Lytechinus pictus: one gene and its partner. The protein of the gene in region 2 purifies or fractionates together with the protein of the main gene of each other region. This does not show direct contact. Links are inferred from orthologs where the notes say so. Each region holds a gene or a part of one and is shown on either strand. Other genes may lie near its edges.

The links.
Region 1: the proteins of segment polarity protein dishevelled homolog DVL-3-like (region 2) and vang-like protein 2-B purify together in Drosophila melanogaster (affinity purification with western blotting; 3 studies listed by BioGRID). This does not show direct contact. The link is inferred for Lytechinus pictus from reciprocal best matches to the Drosophila melanogaster genes dsh and Vang.

The regions. Positions count from the first base shown.
Region 1 is NC_087252.1:12,406,648-12,419,052, forward strand, and holds the start of vang-like protein 2-B, read right to left. Parts: upstream 5,853-12,405; 5' UTR 5,755-5,852; coding exon 5,686-5,754; intron 5,241-5,685; coding exon 5,013-5,240; intron 1-5,012.
Region 2 is NC_087258.1:11,336,842-11,349,508, forward strand, and holds the start of segment polarity protein dishevelled homolog DVL-3-like, read left to right. Parts: upstream 1-6,797; 5' UTR 6,798-8,363; coding exon 8,364-8,535; intron 8,536-10,426; coding exon 10,427-10,547; intron 10,548-12,667.

The DNA of each region.
Region 1 (12,405 bases), on a different chromosome or scaffold from region 2:
CCTGTCTTACAAAGACTTATGATTGATGCAATCAATCGTAACTCAATGGAAATCCATCTACATGTATGTCATAATTTTGTCTACAGGAAATTTGCAAAATGTCCTTTGTAAACAAAGAGAAGCACACCTCCCTATAATAAAGGTGGCTGCCTTCCGCGGCCAGGTGAGGTGAATGCTCGAGTGCCCGATCAAGGTAGCCGTGCTAAAGCTGGGGTAATAACATTATACATGTAAAGCAGGGAGAACAGTTTTCGAAACTGAAATGGCTACCCTGGGTAAAACATGACGTTATTATTATTATTAAAGGCCTTCATATGGCCTTTAATACACAGTGCAGTGGGGGATGGGGGTGGCAGTTGCCCCACAGAAAGTTTGAGAACAAATTTTCACCAACTTCACTAAGTGTATGCATGATATCCTTACATTTCACTTCATAAAATGCAAAAGCGCCCAAATGGCAAGCTCAATCGCTTTGCTCCCTCGCTTTCAATTTTTTTAAATAAGTTTATGCATGCTGCTCCCCCCCCCCCCGCAAAAAATGTCTGCGTGCGATCACGGGCCCTGTAAAATCGTTGCATGTACATGCAAGCCTTGCACGTGAATTGCGGGTGATTGCCCACAACTCACCCGCAACAAAGTCTCGAGCATGTTCAAAACTTTTCTGTGTGCATAAATCAGGATTGCGTGCGCTTCTGCAGGCAACTGCTTGTGAGATGCGTGTGAAAGTTAATGTCAATGCGGGCGAACTGCGGTGTCCTGCGGGGGAGCAAAAATAGTTTATACCTGCAAGTCACACTCGAGGCTTGTACAGAACGATGTGACAGGGCCCTCACCGAATTTGGTTCCTTAAAAAAGTCTAACTAATGCTATGCATGCATCGGTAACGTTTGTACATATGTACAAGGTACATGTATGTCTGAAACATACTGTACAGGGAAGCAGGGATTTTTTTCAACCATGCTACATTAAAATGAGGAAAAATCAGCATTGTTGATAAATGGGCATACATGTATCTGTTTAAGAAATCAGCACTGATGATAAATAGGCATACGTGTATCTGATTGAATATAATATAAAACAATCCCTGCAATAACTACAATGTAGCCCTACATGTACAATTTGTATCAGCGTTCTCTTATGGTTGCTTGAACACAGCTTGGGTGTATTTCAAACTTCCCAATCTCCTTCTCATGTATCCTGCTCGCATAAATAAAAACCTCAAATAGCTCCATCTAACATTTTCATGACCCCTGGGCCATGATAGCCCCTTGTGGGTGGCTGAACCTCATGTAGGCTGCGCTGGGAACCACTGGGAACCAGGTCGTGCTAACAATGCCTTGTGACAACCTATCAAAATCAGTTGTGATCTAAGGGCTTGTGTGCACTGTATGACAGTATTCGGTATTAGATCCATTGCAAGAGCAAAATTCAAATACTGTACAAAGAAAGGACGAGGTATGCACAAAGGCTGTGCATTAAACATAATTTTTGTTGAACTACATGGCAATTGTTACTCCCCTCCTATCACCTGGTATTTCACATATTTTGTTGTAGGCCTATACACATAGACCATAGTGCACAACACAAATTTTAATGCTAATTTCCTTTTTTTAAATACATGTTTATCATGGTGTATTAAAATTTATAGGCCCACATTCACTTTGATTCTCTGAATGTAGAAATGAAGATCATGTACAAACACCTGTGCAGATAGGCGCACATGTAGACAGTACTAAACAGATTAAAATGTTGACATTTCTGAGCAACAAATTTTCAGGCAAACAGCCTCTGTGCACCTCAAATAGAACCTCAGGCCCAGATAAGGAGGTTTGATATCAACCGGAGCTTGAGCAATCTTGCTTGTCTATTTGGTTGAGTAGAGTGATGAGTTGGTTAGGCCGGTTTGCTAGTCATAACAAAACACAGTTCATTCGCACTGAAAAAACATACAAGCTGACAGCACAATCCCCTACTAATATATGATTGATGATGTTTGTGGGCGAAGGGAAGATGCAGCAATTGAACAAAACCATTTAGACTAGCAAAAAGGCCTTTTTATCCCAGAGGAATATTATAGGAGAGATATATAGGTCTACAGTGTATGTGTATGTATGTAGTACCATGATTTTCTATAGATCCAAGAGTGTGGAATTATTGAGAAAAGTATGATTATTTTTAATACAAAACAAGAGCTCAGAATGGTCAAAATTCAAATCCTTTCCGGACAGTTTAGAATGCTTTAGTTTCCTGAAAGTTATATGTACATGTAAGAATGCAAAAAGGGAAATAATCAAGGTATCTCTTTGATCAAATTAACTCTATTAAATTCTCTTCATTTATTCATCTTTCAATCTTTTTATATCTACAATGATAGTTCTATAAAATATACATATTTACAAAATATAACATTTAAATCAACTTTTATAATATAATAATACCATGAATTCGAGAGGGAAGGAGACCAACTAAAAAGCAGAGCTTGCGTCTAAAATGTTCAGGTATTGATGATCAGGGATTAGGCCTACATGTAGATACAGAGATACTCTGATTCTATTGGAAACAAATTCTACCTCTATCAACCAAGTTCAATCCATCCCTTCTTCTTTTTTGTCTTCATGAATAGGGCATATAGGCAAGGAAAGGCAGGGCCCAATAACACAAAGCTCTAATAGTAATTGATCATGAGGCTGTTTTCTACAATTGATTGCATTGATTATTGTATACGATCGATTGTAAAAATCAGCCCTACTATCGATCACTAAAGCTTTATGTGAGGGATGTGAGGCAAGGAAAGGAAAGGCCCAAAAAGCTTAGCAATTGATCATGAGGCTGTTTTCTACGATTGATTGCACTGATTATTGTATACCATCAATCGTAAAGATCAGCCCCACTGTCGATCGCTAAGCTTTATGATACTGGGTCCGTCTTCTAGGTATGGAATGTGTGCGTGCATAGAAAACATGCCATGATGAATTTGTTGATAATGATGTGTCAGGTTTGTGGATGACAATGTTATATGATGTGTTCAGGGATAGGCTAGTGGTAAAGATACCACATGAAAATTGGACAATAACAAACAGAGAAGGGTGGTGGGAATAAAAAAGTGCTCTTACGCCCGCGTAACCGTGTGCGCGAGCAAATTTTTGAAATGCTTAAAATGACCTGATTCATATGATATTTTGGTCAAAAAGTGATTTTCAGCATTTTACAATTTTGACGCACGCATACGCGCACGTCGTGACCTTTACATGACCTCTGATGACATGGACAGTTGACCCGTCACCTGAAGATGTGATGTAAATATGGTTGATTTTTTATAATTGATAACGAAGGTATGATTGATGTGATTTTTAAAATGAGGACCTTTTGACCTTGAACTTGTTTTATACACATGACATGATAAGTCCCCATAACTGATGATATTTTGAAGAAAATTGTTGATGTAGATTTTGAGATTTTGTGCGAACGAGAAAAGGGCGAAAAAATAAAAATGAATAACAAATAATAAAAAAGAAAATTTGTACAAAATTAATAGTTGATCTGTCGATTGACAGATCACCTAATAACATGAAAAATCAGTATCCCTGCTTTTCTGGGGAAAATGCATCTGTGAGAAAAAATGGATGAATAGCTATTTGGACAAAAATGATGGAAATCATTTTGCACCACACATGGCTATGTATCCATAAATCAATCGCCAATTACATCCAGAGGAAATAAAACTCTTCTAGACCAGCATTCCTTGTATTGCCTCTAAGGATAAGATTTCACAGACTATTACACCTGCTCCTTTGGAAGAAGAGGAGACTGGATAACTGGAGTTAGGGGAGTCTGGGATAATCCCAAGATAGGCATTCAGAGGTCAAACAAGGTCAAATATGAGATATGGTTTTCACCTGGTAAAATAAACCATATGCCTTGTTTAATAAAAACTCACTTCTATTGTAACTTCTATAAAAAAAATTGATTTGGATTGGCTGCTGAGCACTGTTACCATGGTAATTGACATAATGGCAGACTGGCATTTACAATTATAGTTGTAGCTATTTGCGAAAAGGGGGTTCCGGGGGAGTGTTTCATGGAAGGTTTTGTACTTGATTTTTGCTGACTTCTTTACTCTCAGCCAATCAGATGCAAGTATTTGCAGTAGCTTCTTATAATCTGTAAAGTGACAATCATGGTTATTTCCAATTTGTCTAATGCCAATTCGTCCAATTGCCAACTTGTCTACTATCATTTGGTCTACCATCAGTTTGTCCACTCACCACATGGTCTACCCTCATTCAGTCTAATGCCATTACGTCTAATAACCAGTTGGTCCAATAGCCATCTAGTCCATATACCATACATGTGGTCTATTAAACTAAAGTGTTAATTATGCAAAATGAATGAAAAGAAAATGGGTATTAGACCAACTGGTTATTAGACAAGATGGTAATAGACGAACCGGGGATTAGACGAACCGGGGATTAGACGAAGTGATGATTGGACCAAATGGTTATTGGACCAAATGAAGGTAGACCATGTGCTGAGTGGACGAATTGGCAATTTACCATGTCATTCACTGAGCAACCTTTTCAAGAACCCTGCCTTGCATGAAGTGCAATGTTTGATGTCATTGATTTTCACTACATACATTTTATTCATGTATGTAATCTGCTCTGGGAGCCCTGCACAACATATGGAAGACTTCTACTTTTCAATGTTACAGTGTCTAGACATGCATATTTGCATGGACAGTACAGTGTACATGAAGGCTTTCAATAAGTTCTGTACATGTGATTTTGTGCCTAAATTAATGCTCTAACTCAATTAAATGGGCTTACCTACATGTACACGTACATGTACTGTATGTCTAAACATTTTTCAACTCATACAGCCATTGTAGTTTGTGCAAGTCAAAATCAACCCTATTTTTACCATGTTTATTTTGACAGTATTCCACTATATCGAAGTAAAATATTTTTTACAAAAAATCCTTTATTACATGTACATCTCATTATTGTACAAACCTCATCTCTGTCCTCGTCGGTTGTAGCTCCGTGCGTTGCTATGGTTACTGATCGTTCTACATGAGAATGTCTTTTGCTGTGTCTCCTATTTTCTCCATCATTCTCTGAATCCTCTCGGTTTCGATGTCGCCGACCACGTCGCCCCCTGTGGCCACGCTCGCTGTCTTCGTCCGTGTCCCGGTCACGGTATTTGTTCTTCGAGCTCTTACTGCTCCTTGTACTTTGGTTCTGTAGGGGAAATCCACACAATTATCAAGGATTCATGTTGGCCTTTTAATCGTGAAATAATTTTAGCAAATTAGCTTTTTTTCAAAATCTTTACACATACCTGTAGGCCTACTAGGGCTGAATCAAAGCATACATGTACTACCGTTCAAATGACTGCTATTAAAAAACATAACCGTTTTGCCATTTCGTAAATCATAACTGTATAGGGGAAAAAAAATCCCTAAGAGTTGCTGGAATTTCACATTTCACATGTACTCATCCTTGAATCATTCATTTTGAACTTGTTTAGGATTCTTCTTCTCAATTTGACCAAAAAAATATAATTCCATGATGGAGTGTAAGGGTAAGTCCATGAACCTTTACTTTACCATAATTGAAATTAGCAAACTGAATTTGAAACTGTGACTGCAATTATAAGCAATTTGTTAAAAACCTATTCTAGTACCTGAGGCTGCGGAGTAACTGGGAACCCCCCATTATCATCAGCATTTTCAGGAGCACCGTCGGTATCCATTTTCAATGTTTTGGCTCCAGAGGGCGGTGTTCCCGATCCCGTGTCAGTCTTGATGAATACGGCAGTGACCGTCAGTTTGAATGATTATCTCTGCATCTGGAGGGAAAGACAAGAAAAAAAAAGGTGGACAGTCTTTTATTTGCTGATTTGGAATACAAAAGAACGGGGGAGCATTTCATCAATGTTTGTCACCAGGCAAGTTGTGCCAACCGTAACTGTTGCTAGCTATGGTAACTGTTGGATAATGAGAACTTTATGACAAAAATTAGCGATTATCACTACAATTCTATGACATTTGCTCCGGCAACAATTGCTCCGCTATCATCAATTCCACAAACTATTCAAATGACCATTTTCAACACTGGATTTAATACTTAACACAACCCTAGCCTAACCCTAACCCTATTAATATAAGACCCTATTGCAACCCTCACCCTATTATGAAATAAAGAACGGAGCAGGTGTCGCTAGGACAAATGTTGTATCACTGCCACAACATCCATGTAACAGTATTTATACCTTTTTTTATATAAAATTCCCAGGAATTGCAAAAGAAAACCAGCAAAACAGACACTGGAGTATGCAGTGTGCATAGAAAGTAAAGTCGAAAGCAAAAATCATGATAATCTGAATTGACATCCATGTGGCTGATGTTATGTCAGAGTTTCGAATGTTGAATCAACCCCTACACAGTACTTGACCCAAACAGCTGGTCATGTGACCTGTTTATAAGCTGCACCAATCCCATGAGCCCCTGCACCAGACATTTAAGCTTCCAATAATATGGAGGCGTATTCAGACCAACTTGTTCGAGAATATCAGACCTCTGGTGGGTGTTTCATAAAGCTGTTTGCTCTACGGCGACCGTACGGCGAGTCGACAACAGTCGTTTAAACATTTTTGTACCAGCTGCATACAGGTGATTTGAATTAAAATTAATAAAATGGCTGTTTTCGACTCCATGAAGCCCCCCCCCCCTGGATCTGGAAATTTACTCTCTGATCTACAGCACACCTATCATAAAATATCAGGTATTTTTGGCAGCAAGAAAGCAAATATTTAATGTACTGCAATGTGAAAGGGATCTTCTCTGTGCAATATACACTGTAGGCCTACATGTATATTGGTGATTTATATATATTGGTGGCGATTTTTTACCTGATTGCTATTAAAGAAAGCATGAATGCTTGTAAGCAAGCAACCAGAGGACCGGTGGCTTAATGTCCTCTCCGAAGGACCTGTTACTGAGGATTGATGCCTTACCAAAGGGCACTAGCGCACCAAGTGAGAATCGAACCCGGGGTACTGGAAAACGAATGCCCCGCTCTACCGACTGAGCTACCGCGTCTCCTCTGCGCTTTGTAGACTAGTGCAATTGTACAACCCACAATGTATGAAGGCATAACCTCATAATTTTTACATACATGTAGTGCAGAGTCTGAAAGGAGACTAGATTCACTCATGTGTGGCTATTCTTATTTGACACAGGCAGAGAAAATGAAGTCTAGTTTTCACCCTACATGTACATGGCAGTATAATTTCTTCAAGTGTCAAATTTGAGTCTGCGCTTTGTAGACTAGTGCAATTGCACAGCCCACAATGTATGGGTGAATGAGTGAATGTGTAATCATGTGAACAATCTATGCTCGAATACTGATGATGCAGTATATCCCGTGGGACTCTACCCATCAATCCAGCTATAAAGTGCATTCTCCCCCAACTGAATTAATGAAAAACAACTTTTTTACGCATGGAAAGTATTCGTATCAATCACGGGGAGAATTCTCCATCAAAGCCTCGATGAACTGAGCAGTGTCAAAATTAAATTCACAAAAAAATAAAAATCTAAAGTGTAGTTGGCACTTTGTTTTTCTTTCACAATCTGTAGTTTTCATTGTGACATTGGGCAGTTACCCAAAGCCCCCCCCCCCCTTAAAAACCTGCACGTAGATGCACATACTTTTAATCAAACCATAAAATTGCTTATCAATATAATCCACAAAAATTAACTATTTTTCATACTACCAGTATAATATTTCATATGATTCAGTGTAAAAAAGGAGCAACACAATTTGTTCCACAATGTGCTGCACTCGACCCAGTGAGGTGAATGGGTACTGAGCGCCGGTGATGGTAGCTTGAGCCATGGATCTACTAGTAGGTCCATGCTCGAGATTAAGCCAGGGTAATAATAGCAGCGCTTTGTATCCTCAGGCAAAAAGCGCTTTATAAATAAATAAATTATTATTATATTAATGGAAGAACTTGAGTTATAATGTAAAATGCAAGTCCTGCAAGCTTCTTGGTAGATGGGTACAACTGAATACCCAGCAACGGAGCCCTGCCATGGAGCCAAGCCATTGATCTGGACATCAGAGATCCTGATCAATGAAAGGTCTTGACTTCACCTATCTGGTTCCCGAGATATTTGCCCCGATACAATTTCCCACTACGTGCTTGTCAGGTATCAATGACTTGCATTGCATTCTTTTTTGGTAGCGAGTCCTAAGGGTGATCACAGGATTGCAGTCTTTGTAGTTTTCCACACTGATCTCTCTTCTTGCTCTTTATCTCTTTTCCTCTCTCCTTTCCTCTATTTTCCCTTCTCCCCTTTTCCTCAATCGTCCCTTCTCCCTTTCCTTTATTTGCCCCCTTTCTCCTTCCTATATTTGCCTCAATACAATTTCCCAATACATGCTTGTCAAGCATCAATGACTCGCGCCCCATTCTCTTTGGTAGCTACATGTAGTCCTAAGGGTTATCGAAGGTCTGTTTTCTCCTTAGTTTACCACACCAATCTCATTTTTGTCCCCTTCCCTGACTCTCTTTTTCTCTCCTTCCCTAAAACTTCCCTCCTCTCCTTTTCTCCAAATGTACAGTGTAGAGCATCTGGAATACAAGAGATGATCGAATGGATACGTTTCTATATCATCCTTTGGCAATAATCTACATTTACCACATTTGCCACAAAAGGACCCCAGCCCTCACCCAGGTGATGGAATTGGGTACCTGGCAGGAAACGTGTACATGTGTTGGGCCTATCCCTTGAAATGCTTGTGTGCTGTAAAATAGCTTGCCAGGCAAAAAACCAGAGATTAATATATTCAACATCATTTGGAAGCCCAGAGATGTTTTAGATGAAATAATTAATATGATAAAATGCACAAGACTGGAATAGCATCTCCAATTTCTCTGTGATAGTGAAGATCATTGGTAGACCCCATTTCAAGATGTACAGTATTGTAGGTCTGAGGAGGTGGACTATTGAGGCAAACTAGGGACAGTCAAACGTGAATTCATTGAACACACTGAGCAATATTGGAAGATAAAATGAGGCTAGTCTGCAGGCGCAGACCCTTCTTTTTTGCATAATTCGGAGTCTGAAGTAGTGAGACTAGATTCACTATACCGTGGCTGGCTCTGAACCTTTGGCGTCTAGTCTTTACTCTAGACCTGTTATTGGTTAATGTGTCGAAAATAGGTCTGTGCTTGCAGACTATGCTGACACTTCTGTTCGATCATGTAATTATCCATGGCTGGAAGGGGAATCGACCAAGGCAATATGAGAGGGCAGGGAGAGGGAGCATGAAATTGAAATCCTAAATCAATAGAATCAATCCCACTCCTGACATTTGTAAATTTGATGTCATATGAATGATGAGGCTTTGCAATGAGGCATGCCTTGAAGGGCTACAATCTCTTGGAGTGCTCACACCATGCTTGAATATTTTTTTTCGTGCCTGCCCCCTCCATCCCCCCCCCCCCCCTTTCCATCCCCATGACTAGTCTGCGGGCACAGACCCATTTTCGACACTTTAACCCTTGGTTTTCACAATTCGCATACTGCATAATGCAGAGTCTGAATTGGTGAGACTAGATTCACTATGCACTGTGGGTGACACACACAGAGTCATTGGAATCTAGTCTTCACTCTAGACCCATTATTGGTTGAAGTGTCAAATATGAGTCTGTGCTTGCATACTACCCATGACTATTCACAGATAGAGTGACAGTTTTTCTGGCATAATTAATGGTAAAGAAATTTAATTGGCTTTAATATGTACACTGTCTGTACAGTATGTAGGCCTACATGTACATATATGTATGTATCATACAGTGTAGTAAAATCTCAGTACATTATTTTCACCCATTTTTAAAGGTACATGTAGAATCTGTGAAATAACAGAGAAGGGGGAGACCCCCCCCCCCCACTCTAAAATAGTTGTTCAGATTTCCCGATCAACAACCCACATTCCTACTAGTCTGCAGACACAGACCCTGATTGAAACTTTGATCAGCAAGTGTTTCTCCAGCAAAGACTAGCACGTACAAAACTTGCTGTTTAGAGGGCCTTCAGCACACAAGGCATGAGTAGGATGCATATTCAGACCCTTAAACTCGCGTGAAGGGTTTGCACATCAGACTACATTCCTACATGTAGTCACGCAGAGACCACAGAATTTATTCAACACTTCCCACCCCTCCTTCCCTAATATCAGAATCAGTGCTTCTTCCACAGTTTAACGCCTTCATCTTCATCACCAACTGCGGCTGACTCCCCACCATCTGCCATTGACAGGGGTGAGGAATTATGCTGCGGATATCACACACTCATTGCAGTACTGGACAATAGATTGAGTAATGGTTCAATCCCTCCATCCATGATGATGAATTATGCCCTGTGACTCATCCAGATTACAGAAATAAAATGTGAGGTCATGCAACATACAGTGTACATGTAGGTTGGCCTACTGAAATAATAGGGAAGTCCTAGGAGTAGGAGAAGGTTACGTCTACTTGTAGGTGGTTGTGTATGCTTTACATGTACATGTACTTGATGAAATAATAATAAAAAGGTGAATGAAATGATTAATGTACATGTAGGTCGATGAATAATTATGAAGGATGTACATGTAGGCTACATGCATGTTTTTTTTAATATTGCTAAATAATGCTAGATACATCATACATGTACACTGTGGCCAACAGGTGCATTTGTGGTGAATATTCAGTATCAATTGAAGAGAACTGATTACTGTTGGGTAATATTAATGTACAGTAGTACGGTACATGTACTGTTCGTTCATACACTGTATTAACTGTAAGGTTCTATACCACCCGGTATATACACAAGTAGCATAAAGACTTATTTAAGGAGAAAAATTATAATTGGTATTAGGCATTGATAATCATTGCCATTCTTTTCTATTACATTTATTTCATTGTGACAAGAGTGGTTTCACAATCATTATCACCACCACCATCATCATCACCATCATCAACACTAGCATCATCACCATCACCATCTCATTATCATCATCTTCATCATCATCACATCATCATCCTCATCATCACCACCAGTACTGATAAGATTTCATTATCATCATCACTATGAAAACCATTATCATTAGGGCGATTCCACACTAGAACTTCAAAAATGTCATAAATTTCAACACGCTTTCAATAAGTCACAAGTAGTGTAATATTTTACTATGATACCTAAATTTTTTGAAAATTATGAGTTTTAACCAAAAGTGAAGTCAGATATAGTTTTTTTTGGGGGGGGAACAATGGAATTTTCAATTTTCAATAATTTTGCTGATTAAATAGTCAAGTACAAACACTGCCTGAAACAATTATTGGCACAGCGCGAGAAGATTGAAAATATTGCAGGTCAATGGAATAATGTATCATTGATGGTTCCAAATAATATCTACAACATTTTCATGATCCATAATAGGGGCAGCCCTGATTTTTCCTAACCTATTTTTGGCAATGTCCCGTACGACACATGAAAATGCAAAAGTTTTTCCTACAATTTTATTTTTTATGATGCAATTTCACAATATCAGTTGCTCTTTCTTTGACCCATGGGTGATCGATTTATCCCATAAGGATCTAATTACTGCCCTTCATTTTTCAATAATTGTCTTATTAAAATTTGTCCCGTACGACACACAATATATAATGCATTTAATTGCAGGATTTGGATTCAGAAACTATAAATAGTAGGCCTATTTTAATTCAAGTAATTGATTTGACATAAAGTGAACAGAAAAAGTACTTTTTTATCTCCATAGTATATGAAATAGGTGATTCTAACCATTTTAATTTATTTCATGTAGGCGTATTCTTTTGTGAATCCCTTCAGCTAAACTGGTGATTTTCACTGGTCAGTGCAGGTTAATTTCTTTGTCATTGAGCATGAAAAGAAAACCTTTATAATTGATTCATTCTAGCCTGGAAGATGACTTCCTCTTGCATGCTAATGTGGAATTATTATAAGATGTAAAAAAAAATTACATATCAATCATCTATTTGGACTTCCCTTGTTGATCACTAATTTTTTTATATAATATACAGTATTGAAACTCCTTACTTTTTTCAAGTTGTAAAAAAAAATCACAAACCATGTTGTTCAAAAAAAATCTGGAAAATAAGACAAACCCTATGGTTTCATGAAATGCAGAAAGTTATGAAAAAGTAGAACCACATTTCTTTAGAAAAAAAATATTTTGTGGAATTACAAGTGACAGTTGTGACATACGTGTATATCATGTACATTTTATATAAAAAATTATAACATTTTAGCCCCATAATTTACACAAACAGTTTCATTCATTCTAAATAGTGTATTGGAAATCATCAATT
Region 2 (12,667 bases):
AAGGTCAAAGGTCATTTAGGGTCAATGAACTTTGGTCAAATTGGGGTATTTGTTGAATTACCGCCATAACTTAAAAAATATATGGACCTAGTTCATGAAACTTGGACATAAGGTTAATCAAGTATTACTGAACATCTTGCTTGAGTTTCACGTCACATGACCAAGGTTAAAGGTCAATGAACTTTGGCCGAATTGGGGGTATCTGTAGATTTACCATCATAACTTTAAAAGTTTATGGATCTGATTCATGAAACTTGGACATAATAGTAATCAAGTATTACTGAACATCCTGTGCAAGTTTCAGGTCACATGATCAAGGTCAAAGGTCATTTAGGGTCAATGAACTTTGGTCAAATTGGGGTATTTGTTGAATTACCGCCATAACTTTGAAAGTGTGTTGGTCTAGTTCATAAAACTTGGACATAAGAGTAATCAAGTATCACTGAACATCCTTTGCGCATTTTAGGTCACATGACCAAGGTCAAAGGTCAATGAACTTTGGCTTAATGGGGGTATCTGTTGAATTACCATCATAACTTGGAAAGTTGATGGATCTTTCTCTTGAAACTTGGACATAAGAGTAATCAAGTATCACTGAACATCCTGTACGAGTTTCAGGTCACATGATCAAGGTCAAAGGTCATGTAAGGTCAATGAACTTTGGCCACGTTGGGGGTATTTGTTGAATTACCATCATATCTCTATAAGTGTATGGGTCTAGTTCATAAAACGTAGAAATAAGAGTAACCAAGTATCACTGAACATCTTGTGCGAGTTATAGTAGTTTTCAAAATCAGCACTGCTGCTATATTGAATCGCGTGATGCAGGTGAGACGGCCAGAGGCATTCATCTTGTTAATTTCTAGACGTTGGTTTGCCTCTATCCATTGAAATTCAGAAGATCTCGTACATGTACACTGCCGATATCCAGGTGATTTTCCTACACATACCATTTAAATGCTAATGGTAAATGTTTACAAAGGACACCTGCTGGCCAAGAATTGAGAATAGCCCCTTGAAAATTGAAGAGGAAAATCTCTTCCATAAGAGATTTAAAGCAGGGTTAGCTACTTGAGTTGAACAATAGAGGGGGGTAGAGAGGATGAGAGTGTCATAAGTGGAAAGGGAATTTAATGACAAATGTTGTTAGATGGATGTGAGTGTAAGACATGCTATTTCTCTAAAAAGAGCAACCTTTTGTCGTGTGTCTTAAATATAGATTAATACTGACTGACAGTTTTTTTTAATTTACTTGGTCCGAATGGTCATCCTAGTATCTGATGAAACTATAGAACTTAAATTTTAAATGATAAGCTGATTCAGTTTCATTTAGATTATAAATGTTCCCTGCCACTATCCAGATCTGTACTTATTTAAACTAGATTTATTGTTCATAGATCAGAATTAGGAATAACAAATGATAACTTTTTTATGGTGAATATTGTTAAAAATCAAATTTAGTTAGGAATTAATTTTGGTTGGAAACTCAATACCCAATGATTTTGCTAAAGAAATATGACCACCTCCCTTGAAAATTGCCTACATTGTACATGTATAAAAGTGAATTTTCAAATATCCTCATTGTTGTAATGCTTGAATTGATGTTTATGGAAAAAGAGCTGTACATTTCATGCAACTAAATATAATCTTGTTATCTATTCATTAGAACAATGTGGCCTAATTAGATTCCGCACTTGATCAATCCATACCCATCCAGATATTCAAATTGGCCACTTCATGTCTGTAGTAACCAGCCTCGCCGGCTAGCCTCGGTGCTGCCAGTTAACATAGAAATCAATACAGCCATTGGTAGCTGGACCTTTGTGTAGTCCCAGGCTAATTGTCCTGGTGTTGGTAATGAGTTCCGGTTGAGGGCGGATGTCTATTGTGACATGCAGTCGATAAATATTGTGAGCGAAGGCGGAGGTGGTGATGGACAGATGGTTTTCTTGGGAATCGGGTCAGAGGAAAGAAAATAAATAATGAAGGAACAAAAGTGACAGAGATAAAGTTTGAGGGGGGGGGGATGGAATGATAATTATAAGATCTAAGGGTCTTTAGCAAAGAATTGATAATTTGAAGACAGTTTGAAATTTCCATAATACCAAGTTATTTTTGGAAATATTCAAAATAAAGACCAATTTTCTGATAAAATAAAGGGGTATGAAGGGGATTTCAAAGGAAGTGATATAATTTAGATTTTATTATTTCAGTAAACGAATGCTATTAAAATCATAGCCAGTGTAAATTCCTTCAGCAAGAAATTTATCCACATTTTGCTGCACTCTACCCAAGTGACGTATGGGTATCCAGGAAGGATTACTGGAAACTTGCTGGCTCAAGAGTAATAATTTTCAAGTTCCTTTGGAAGTTCATACATGTAGAGATGTATGTGATATGCGTTATACATGGGCTGCGTTTATGCGACCTCAAGCCAGAATCATGATTTGAATCATGGTTTGAATCATGATTCAAAACACAAACATGAATCACAATATCACAGAATCAGCGTTTAGACGACCTTCATTCCAATGCTGTTTCTCCTCAGATTCGGGCCAATCCAGTGCGCATCACTAGTGCGCAGTTTGACAGAGGAAGTTTTTCGCACGTGTTTCGGCTCTCGAAAATTCTTTTGCTTCCATCAGAATTCAGTCTATACCTCATTTTGTTTACTTCTATCATAAAGGGTCCATATGCTTCTATTCATCTTGTTAGTTTATCCAAAATGGTGTTTGGAAGTGAATTTCAGCGTAGATCCAATTTGATATTGATACTGTATACTCAACAACAACTGAGATCATTGTCTGTCCAGTTAATCCATTTACTAGAACTTGAAGTTGAAGACATGACCAAAAAATCAAAAGTAGTGGACGATGCGATGACCAACCCAGAACTTGAACATGACAAGAAATGAATTCATAGTACATAGTCATGTACATACAATGAGCATATAGAGCGCCTTGAGCTTGGCAAGAGTCAAACCGAAAGTAGCCCGACGCAACAGTGAGGTCATATAATCATGATTGTAATCACGATATCGTTTATTCGAACATTTTCGTACGTGATTCTGCAGAAACGTCTTTCCAAACGCCCCTTTTTTCGTGTTTCATGTTTGTGATTCTAATCATGATTATATTCAATTTCGACTAAACGCAATCGTGATTCTGCAGAATCATGATTTGAATCATGATTCAAATCATGATTCTAGGGTAAAAAAGTGGCGGATAAACGCACCCATGGACTGAATATCATAATTATTAAAGAAGATCAGTTTGGGAATCTTATGGGGAACATTCCTGTGGTTTTGTCTGTCTATCCATCGTCCCTTGGTGTTTATATTTGATGTTTAGTTTCAGAACAGTAGTTCCTGAAACTCTTTTGAAAGGAACATCAAACGTGAGGGTAGCGCCTTTTCTGACTTGTTCTGCTTTCTCTTCAAACTCTGCTCCATTGTTTTCTACATGGACTAGATGTGTGATAGGTCTGGTTCTATTTACTTTCATTTACCATATTCAAGGCCATAGTTAAGAAGATCTGATCTACTTGTACTTTGAATTATTTTTTGATATGACTACCATGGTACTGTAGTCGTAAAGTATTGAACTTGTAATGTACATTTACCTGTCATGCACATAAAATATTTTTTTTTACTTGAATGATAAGACACTTGGCCTGCCAAGTTACTTCTAAGAGGCTTAACATCAATTTATTCTGTTGGCATTTCGAGAATCCCTTGATTGACCATAATTTCCAGTCATTTTCTGGAGATGTATTTTGAATAAAAAAGGTTTAACGATTAACAGTAATGTTGATTGATCATATAGTTGATTTGAATGATTGATTGCACATAATCATTATGTAATTCATCATATAATCAGCCTTGCAATCGAATGCTTAAGTTTGTGTCCTCAGGGTATAGAAAAAGGATAGAAGATGCAATAGAGAACATCACCCTCACCCTCTGTCTTTATTCTTCACTCGATCATCAACACCCTTGGTCATCACTTCCACTTTCACTAAGATCGTTTAAAGAGCAGGCCATAGTAGAGCGGCACTCCCTCCCATTAGAATCCGATACAGTGCTATTGCAATGGTCTTGACAGAGGAGAAGACATGGTGAGGTTCACAGATGACAGAAATGTTGCAATGTGCTCCTTTCGTTCTGTTGTATCTCTTTCAGTGATGGGGATTTAAGAGGTGGTGCTGAATAAATGTTTTGCGTTGAGGTATTTATCCCAAAGAAACAAGACGTCATTGTTGTTGTTGGTGTGTAGTCGTTGGCGTAGGGTGATGACTTTTAAATGACCCAAAAATCTATTTTCATTCATTCCTTTCGTCAATGTCACAAAAGGTTTGTTTCTCAGTGATTTCATAAGTCATGGGAAAGGGTGTGAGAAAAAATGCTAGAAATGAAGGCGGAACATCAATATAGACGAAGTGAATGTAATTATAATGTGTAGAGGTTCAAATTCTCTCCACTGACTTCAAATATATGTATTATTGGTATTCAGTCCTTTCTTGTGAATTTGAGGAATATTTCCAGAATAGGTCGAAATTGTGAAAGACGAGTTCACATTTGTGAAATTAAGAATCATTCTTGGGATGTATTATGGTATGTTAGCACATACAAGAAGAGATATTCACGGGGGACATATGAAACTTGTAATATAATCTTAGTAACAAGGTTTGATCGAAATTACTTCAGTAAGAACAATAACCCCAATAAATTTAAAATTATTCAAACACTGGATAATCATGTCTTTCATTGCGATTAGATGATGTGTTATTTTTGTAATGAAGAATATGATGCATTCAATTATTTCCTTCAAAGATTTAGCAAGTAAATACACCAATTCGTACAATCCCATGTTACCAACTGATTATCTGTCAGTCATTAATCCATCCTCCCCTTCACCTTCCTAAATCCCCTTTGCCCCCTCTTCAAATCCTGTCGGACAAGTCTTCATTTTATTAGAGAAAATTGACAAACAATTATCTTGTCATCCTCCTCCAGTCACCCACAAACAAGATTATAGTATTGATCCAAGCTGAGAAAAACTTATCCAAACCATTTAGTTAGGCAGACCCTCCTGTCCCTCAAACCCATCAATCATCATCCCCGCCCAGTGTGGGTCTATTTATTGGAAGGGGGGGGGGGGGGCAGCGTAGCTATGGTTGCCTCCTTTAATTGGGTCTATATATGTAGTACGATGGAAAGTAAATTCCCAAATTATACTAGTCAGAAGTGTGAAGTTGACAAATGTGCATTCTAAGGTTGTTAAAATTGCCATTGCTGAAGAGATTTTCCATGAAAATATTTGCCATTTAATAGTCTAATAAAAAGAAAGTTGGAAAATTAATACAAATTCTATCTTTATGATACAAGATAAAAGAAACTTGGCAATTAGTACAAATTCTAGCTGTATGATACATTTCCCCAATCAAACTTATTTTGTCCTTTCCATAGCAATATTTTTGTATTAACCCCTTTTCATTTTGTCTTTATATGTACCAAACTAATAATTGTTTTTCTCCCCCAATGCTATTTGGTCTGTATCTACAGAATTAGTTTATGACACCTTCGGGACAATTTTCATCAAAATGACATTTCATCACCAAAAAATCCTGATAACCTTTAACCTTTGTTAGGGAACCCATACACCCCTAATGATTGGTAGTAGTTTCTAATATCCCCCACCAAGCTTTACATCCCTGCTTGCATTGAGGGTTACTAATGATATTCAGAGGTTGATATCTACTAATGACCGTGTTAAGAGATTTCAATAGTTGCCTAATGGATGTGATTGAGGAAGGAAATTTCAATCCAGTCAAAACTTCATGCAGTTGCCATGAGATGGGGTCATTGATTTGTTATATTAGATAAATATGGTATATAACACTATCTATCCCAAAGTGATATGATGAAATAAAATACATCAAAGCAATGAATGAAAATTGCATTTAAAGATATGCTTCCATCTTTACGAGTTGTATTAGCCAGAGCAGTAAACGGGAAACATTAAAAATGAACAGTGAATAAAGCAGAAGAACATTAAACATGAAGAGTTTTTATGACCGGTTATGGCGACAGTGTTGACTAAGGCTGTTTGGGTTTGCATATTGATTATCATATTCATATGTTGCTAGATACGGATTGAAATCTGTTAGTTTCAAGGTCAATGAACTCTCCAGGTCATTGACATTGATTATGTGACGGGGTCATAGAGCTGTCACAAATGATGCCATTCATCTTTTTCAAAGAGTTATTTCCATTTTCCATTTTTTACGAATGAAGGGTTCTATTAATATCATCTCTCATAATCACTGGAGGTAAACGTAAAATGAATACAGATTTTTTTAACAACCTCCCATAAAATATTGTGAGGTTTATTGACCCTCTGAAAATCATATTGATTAGCATAAAACTAACTTCAATGAAGTGAATTGTGACTCTGGTGTTATTGTAAACACTTGTGGGATTTTGATACAGACATTCAGGGCCAATTACAATGCAAGAAATCTTTTGGAAAATAAAAAAAAGGCAAAACAAATCCATCCACCCCCTTTGAAAGAAGTTATCGTGAAAGGAGACATTTTGATTGGAGCTGAAATGGCAATTTAATGACCATTCACTCAAAAGACAATTTCATGGCGTGCTTTGATGGAGAAGAGTGAGCGTTTTACTCAGAGATAATCATCGGGACAATGGAGTCTATAGACGACCACCTTTCTCTCTCTCGGTCTCTCTCTCAGTACCATGGGTCACGCAGAGAAGTGCAATGCATGTAATTGCTTTTGTGTTTTAGTGGTACGAATGAAAGAAAGAAAGGAGAACCCAGGCTGCTTCAGAATGGTCATCTCTTATTGATAGTGAAAACAGAGTTATAGAGAGACTGTTTGTAGGGATTCAGTTCAGTCTGTTAGAAGCTCTGCTCCTGATGTCACTGCGTCCCACGCATGTCTGTTGGGGTTCAGTCAAAGACAATATTGTTGAATCGGACTATAAGCGTCCATCATTGTTTTTGCGTTGTGAGGCTTTGCTCGGTCAAATATTCTATTCTCTGGAATCATCCTCGGTACTTTTGTTGAAGTTGTGTATGTCTTTTTAGCATTGGACATGCTTTCTTCTTGAACTTTTATAATTGTATGTGTGAGTCACCATAGGAAGGGACCCTTCCAGCATCCTCTCCACTTTGCCACTCAACACAATGAAAGCAGTTATCCTCTAGGACAATAACATTGCACCCTTGAGAAGATAAATGGATATAGAGTGGGGAATGATCTGAAGAGCAGCGTTAAAATCTTCAAACTCCATTGAGGAGACTGAATCGGCTCTAAACCTATTCTCCTTGCATGATTAGACTGGAGACATTTAACAGGAGGGCGCAACGTAAAAAAAAACCTTGTGAACCCAGTTAGTGGGATTCCTGCAGGGGTCCGGCCATTCAGTCATCAGCGACCCTTGTCAAAGAACCTGGAGTAGGGAATACTCTTCTTCAATCCCATTATTCACAGATACATTAGTATTTATCCACCTCGATGTCTATTTATCTTCAGCTATATGGGGGACCTCTTAAATGCATTGCATGTGGAAAGTCCCATTTTGCAAATGATGATGAGGGTGATTCCTTGTCTGGTAATACTAGCTCCAGGATATGTTCCTTATAAACATTCTCAGTGGGGTTAAATCAAAGCCGTTGCTCCAAGCGATCATCAGAGATGTGTCGCTCTGGTGTTGGATGTTAGCAAAGCAGACATGAAACTTGTCTTTCATTGTTGCCAATTTGGTTGGGCAGCCGGTGTAACATTCCACGCGACAGAATGTCAACAGTTGTGATTTTAGATATGATCCCTTCAATGGTCTCGACAGTACAGGATCCGATAGCATCGATGAAGGCATCAATGGTGCATCAACGAGTTGTGAGATGCATTCAGTATCATCTTCAAAATTTTCCTCATGGACCCCATAATGCAGTGTTCCCGTGTTATGGTTATAAGGATATTTGCAAGTTTTTATGAATATTTGAGGATCCGTGCATAGCTTTATTCATAATCACCATTCGCGGTGTGTTTGTGCACAGAATACATACGTGTATGATTTGTATCTGTTGTGGAAACAGTATACATGTATCTATCATTTCTCATCATGTTTTATGTACAGCGATTTGACATTTGCAATTGGCAAAGTTGCCATTTCTTGTCAGTTACGATTGGAAGTGGATTAAACACAATCAGGAATTACCATAAACCTTTTCATTGGATTTCCGCTCCTTGATGAACATCGATTAGCATGAGATTGTTCGAATAAAAGACATTGTGCGGTTATCTTTATCAGAGTAAAACAATTTTCTTATATATCTTGTATGGGGAATTCCGCGATCAAATCCCCACGCTGTTTTTGCCTGCCCCCGATCCTCTTTGCCCGTTCCACCCGCTGCCACCCCCGTAGTGATAACCTCACTTCGGCTCGTTCGGGCGTCCAGATGCACCTCGTAGCGGAGGCCTATACTTTCTATTCTTGCCATCATTATACAGGTATAGCCATGATTCATGTGTTTCTCTCAATATTCTTTACTAATTATTAAATGCAAGCATTATGTATTCAGTCTGTGTAATTCAGGTCCAAATGCACACTTTCAAGAACATTGAAAAACAAATCCTAGTAGTTACACCTTCAGCTATTTTCTAACTCATTTTTGTCACTAATTTGTAAAAATTGCAAAGTTGTTGAACGAAATAAAATTGAATTTATTTTGCAAAACATTTAGATAATTTATAAATCATTATTCTTCATGTATACATATGATAATAAGCCAGGACATAAAAAAAAAAACAAGGAACAATTTACTTGTAGATGAGACCCTGATAAGTTGTACCATTATGGGTAACTTTCAGGCCTGGTATTACTTTCTGTGGAATAATCTTTGGACTCCAGTTTGGAGGACATCTAAATTATGGGTGACGTTGAGCCTGATGACCATGATATTCGCCATTGGTGGCAAGTTTGATATTAGATTATATGTAATTGGGAAAGATATTTGGGGCAGTCCATTGGTTCAGGAAAGTCTTGATTGCTGCTTTCTAAAATAGGATATATTAAAGTGAAGTGCTTGAAATTGCCAAATGTCAGAAAAAAAGCAATTAAAAAAAAAAGTCAATATTCTTTGGTTCTAAAGCTATTAAGAAACCTATATGATTTGAGAAAAGGAATATGAATGACTGCAAATGAATAAAAATGCTAAGCTGGCTTTTTTTAGGTACTATTCTTGATAAAGTTATTAAGTATAAAGTGGTCTATAATTAGTTTCAGGGATCTACGATTTCGCATTTAAAATCTGTAATGTTCAAGCTTCTCTCCTACCGAAGACATTGTGAGGGATAAAAGCATTCATGATCTCAGAAAATAGCCGGGGGATTTGAAATCCATTGGGCGCAAATCCCTGATGGAAATAAGATAGATTGCATCTAATGGAGAGAAGATCTACAAATATCAAGCACTAATGTAACCCTTCCACAAAACTTGTATTGTTGTGTCGGAAGAAAGGGTTTATATCTTTGGAAAGCTTTCCATTTTTATTTAATCCCTTATTGGGGTTCTACGATGATGGGATGACCCATTGATAGATGTTTGTGAATGTTTTTTTTTAAGTAGTCCCCATCCAATGTATTCAATTATGCTATTATGTTAGGTTGAGTGAAGTAATTCTGAGTTACTACTCTTAGAGGCAAGATAGAAATAGAAATGTTAAGCCGTTAAATGCAACTTGGAGGCACTTCCCAAGTTCCCACAGAGAATATGTGCATTTCATGTAAGAAATTGTGATTTTATGTAATATTAATGAAAAATATGATATTATATTCAAGTTGCAGAATGTTAAGGTTTATTATTGAATTCATATTTGGGTTTTAAAAATACATATACTTCAACAGATGTTGTTTATTTTTTACATATTTTGTATTTATGTGTATGCTGAATATATGTTTAGAAGATGCATACTTGTATTGTATGCATATTTGGGACAGGAGCTCTAATGTTCAGTGTATTGTTCTCTTTCTCTGCATGAAATTTGTTAACAATTAATTTTGCTCTCACTTTTCATTTACGTTCATACTTCATACTTCCACCTTTGCACAAAGACTGCTTTCGTATATCCATTGGGTGGTCTTTTATGTACAGGTTTTACTGTAATTCAACTTTCATTGATAATACATGGTTTCTTTGTTCATTATTGGGCCATGGAGAAACCAACCCCTTATCCATGGTAAATGTAGAGCATATGCTACAAATGGCTACAAAGACAATTATTTAATATTCCAGTTATTTCATTTGTTGTGTTTTTTGTTTGTTTCATAAGAAGAGTATAAATTAAATCTGATTAGTTAAGTAACAGTTGTATTTGTATCTTTTTTGTTTGTTTCTTTGCAGTTTCAAGGAGCAAGAGAGATCATCACCATCGAAGCGGGCATGGATACGAGAGTTCGTCAACGTTGATGAGCAGCGACATCGACTCAACGAGCTGCTTTGACTCAACGGACGATGACAGCAGGTTTGTTAAAACTCTTTTGAAGAATTCTGAATTATTTGACTTTCTTCAGCAGATCATCTGCAGATCTATAAATCGAAACTCATAGACCTATGTAAGAGAGAAGTCTACGTTGTCAATTCAGTAGGCATATCAATTAGTATTGAAAATAAACAAACAAAAAAGTTTAATAATAGTCAAAGTGGGTGACATGCGACTCTACGACCTGCTTTGACTCAACAAATCTTTTTAAAACAATTCTGAACTCTTTGACTTCCTGTAGCAGATCATTTTCATATTGTACCTGAGCCAGAACTCCTTACCTACACTGTACTTTATGGAGAAGTCTACCTTTTTTTTCCAATTCAATTTATGAAAGATAGACTAGAATCAAATATGCCAAACTGTGAATTAATCATTAAAATTGAGTGACATCGAGTAGACGAGTTACGGTACGCATGATCGGAACTTGTTCTTACGTGCTAAGTCAGCTACTGAGGTATATATCATCTAGCACTGGGTCACCGATCGTGCACAAATTCATGCATAAATTATGACCAGCTTTATGAACTGGCCCCCAACACCCATCATGTTTAAAATACTCCTTTGAAAAGATTGATGAAGCCTTCACGCAAATTATGAATCATGGAAGTGGCACGATCAAATTACAATATTACGTTCCTATCACTCTATCCCATATCAAATTCAGTCGATGTATGTATTTTGTTATAGTTTACATAGGCCTCCTTTTTAAAATCGCCCCATTCTGTCAATAATCTGGCAGTATACCGTACACAGTGCTGTGAGAGTTCAGATTTTTATCTGATTTCAGATTTTTTTTGTTTTGATTTTCAGCTTAATTTCAGCTTATTTTTGGCCTTCCTCCGTACAAAAAGTATGGGAGCTCTTTCTATTTCAGACTTTTTCAACACTCTTCAGCTCTTTTCAGATCTTTTTATTTGTGACCACTCACACCCCTGACCATACATCCAGACGCTTCAGCAACAGTTTTGCTACGGAGAACAACACGTTATCCTAAATTGAAGTGCCCTCGACAAGACTCAATTTCACCCCTCTTTTAATAATCAAGTTTCTCCCCTTTTCCCCAAAGCAAACTCATCACCTGTGTCATTATTGACATTTATGGAGAAAGAAATTATTCATAATCTGTGTGCAATATAAACTGATAGGTGCATGCCAAGAATCCAAATATTGACAGACCCATATGAAGGTTTTTATGAGGTTTTCATACTGTTGGACAAAGTCCTTGCGTGGAACTTATAGTCTGTTCAGACTAGAGGAAATGGTATTTGAAACTGTTATTGTACATGTAGTGTAAAAGGGGCACAAAATGCATTTTTTATTTAAAAAAATTCTTTATTACACTAGATGTTCCAATTCAATTTATTCCACTCTAAAAGCTATTACTTAGTAAAATGCCAGAAATAGTGGTGGGATTTTCAAAAGCTCAAATAGTGACTTATTCATTAAAAACTTGTCATTAATTTGAAACTTGTTTTGCGGTGTTAAATATGGGATCATACAACTGCCAACATGAAATCAATATTATTTAATAAAGTAGTTTGATGAGTTAGCAATCCCCAGTACATACTAATCTTAAAAACGATCATTTTGACATGAATTGGCTCTGGTTCTTTGAATTTATTTATTCATTTCTTCTTTATTTAACAGGTTAGCCCCATCAGTAATTGCAATACTGTCATACTAGGGGGCCCTGCGTATGAATGAATATAAAGAAAATGTCTTTGTATGTATATTTGGTTAGAAGCATTGCTGATTTCAAATATATTTTGAGGCAAGATGGAGTCCCCCTCTAAAGGATACATTTGTATAATATGCATTATGATATGATTATGATATAAGTTTGAGTGCAAGAAATTTAATTAGTCTAAAAGGGGGCTCAGTGAGGCTTCATATTTATCTAGGAAGTGTGAAAATTTTCTCAAAGATCTTAATCTTTTTGGCATGCTATTGAATTTTGCCTTGGAACATGTAAATATTAACAATTTTATTGTGGGGTTAAATGTGGAATAATTGGTTGAATACCCCAGCTGTCCTTGAAACTTTATTGTATTTGTTTAGTAGTTCTTTCAATAGTGGTATTGTCTGGAAAAATAAAGTAT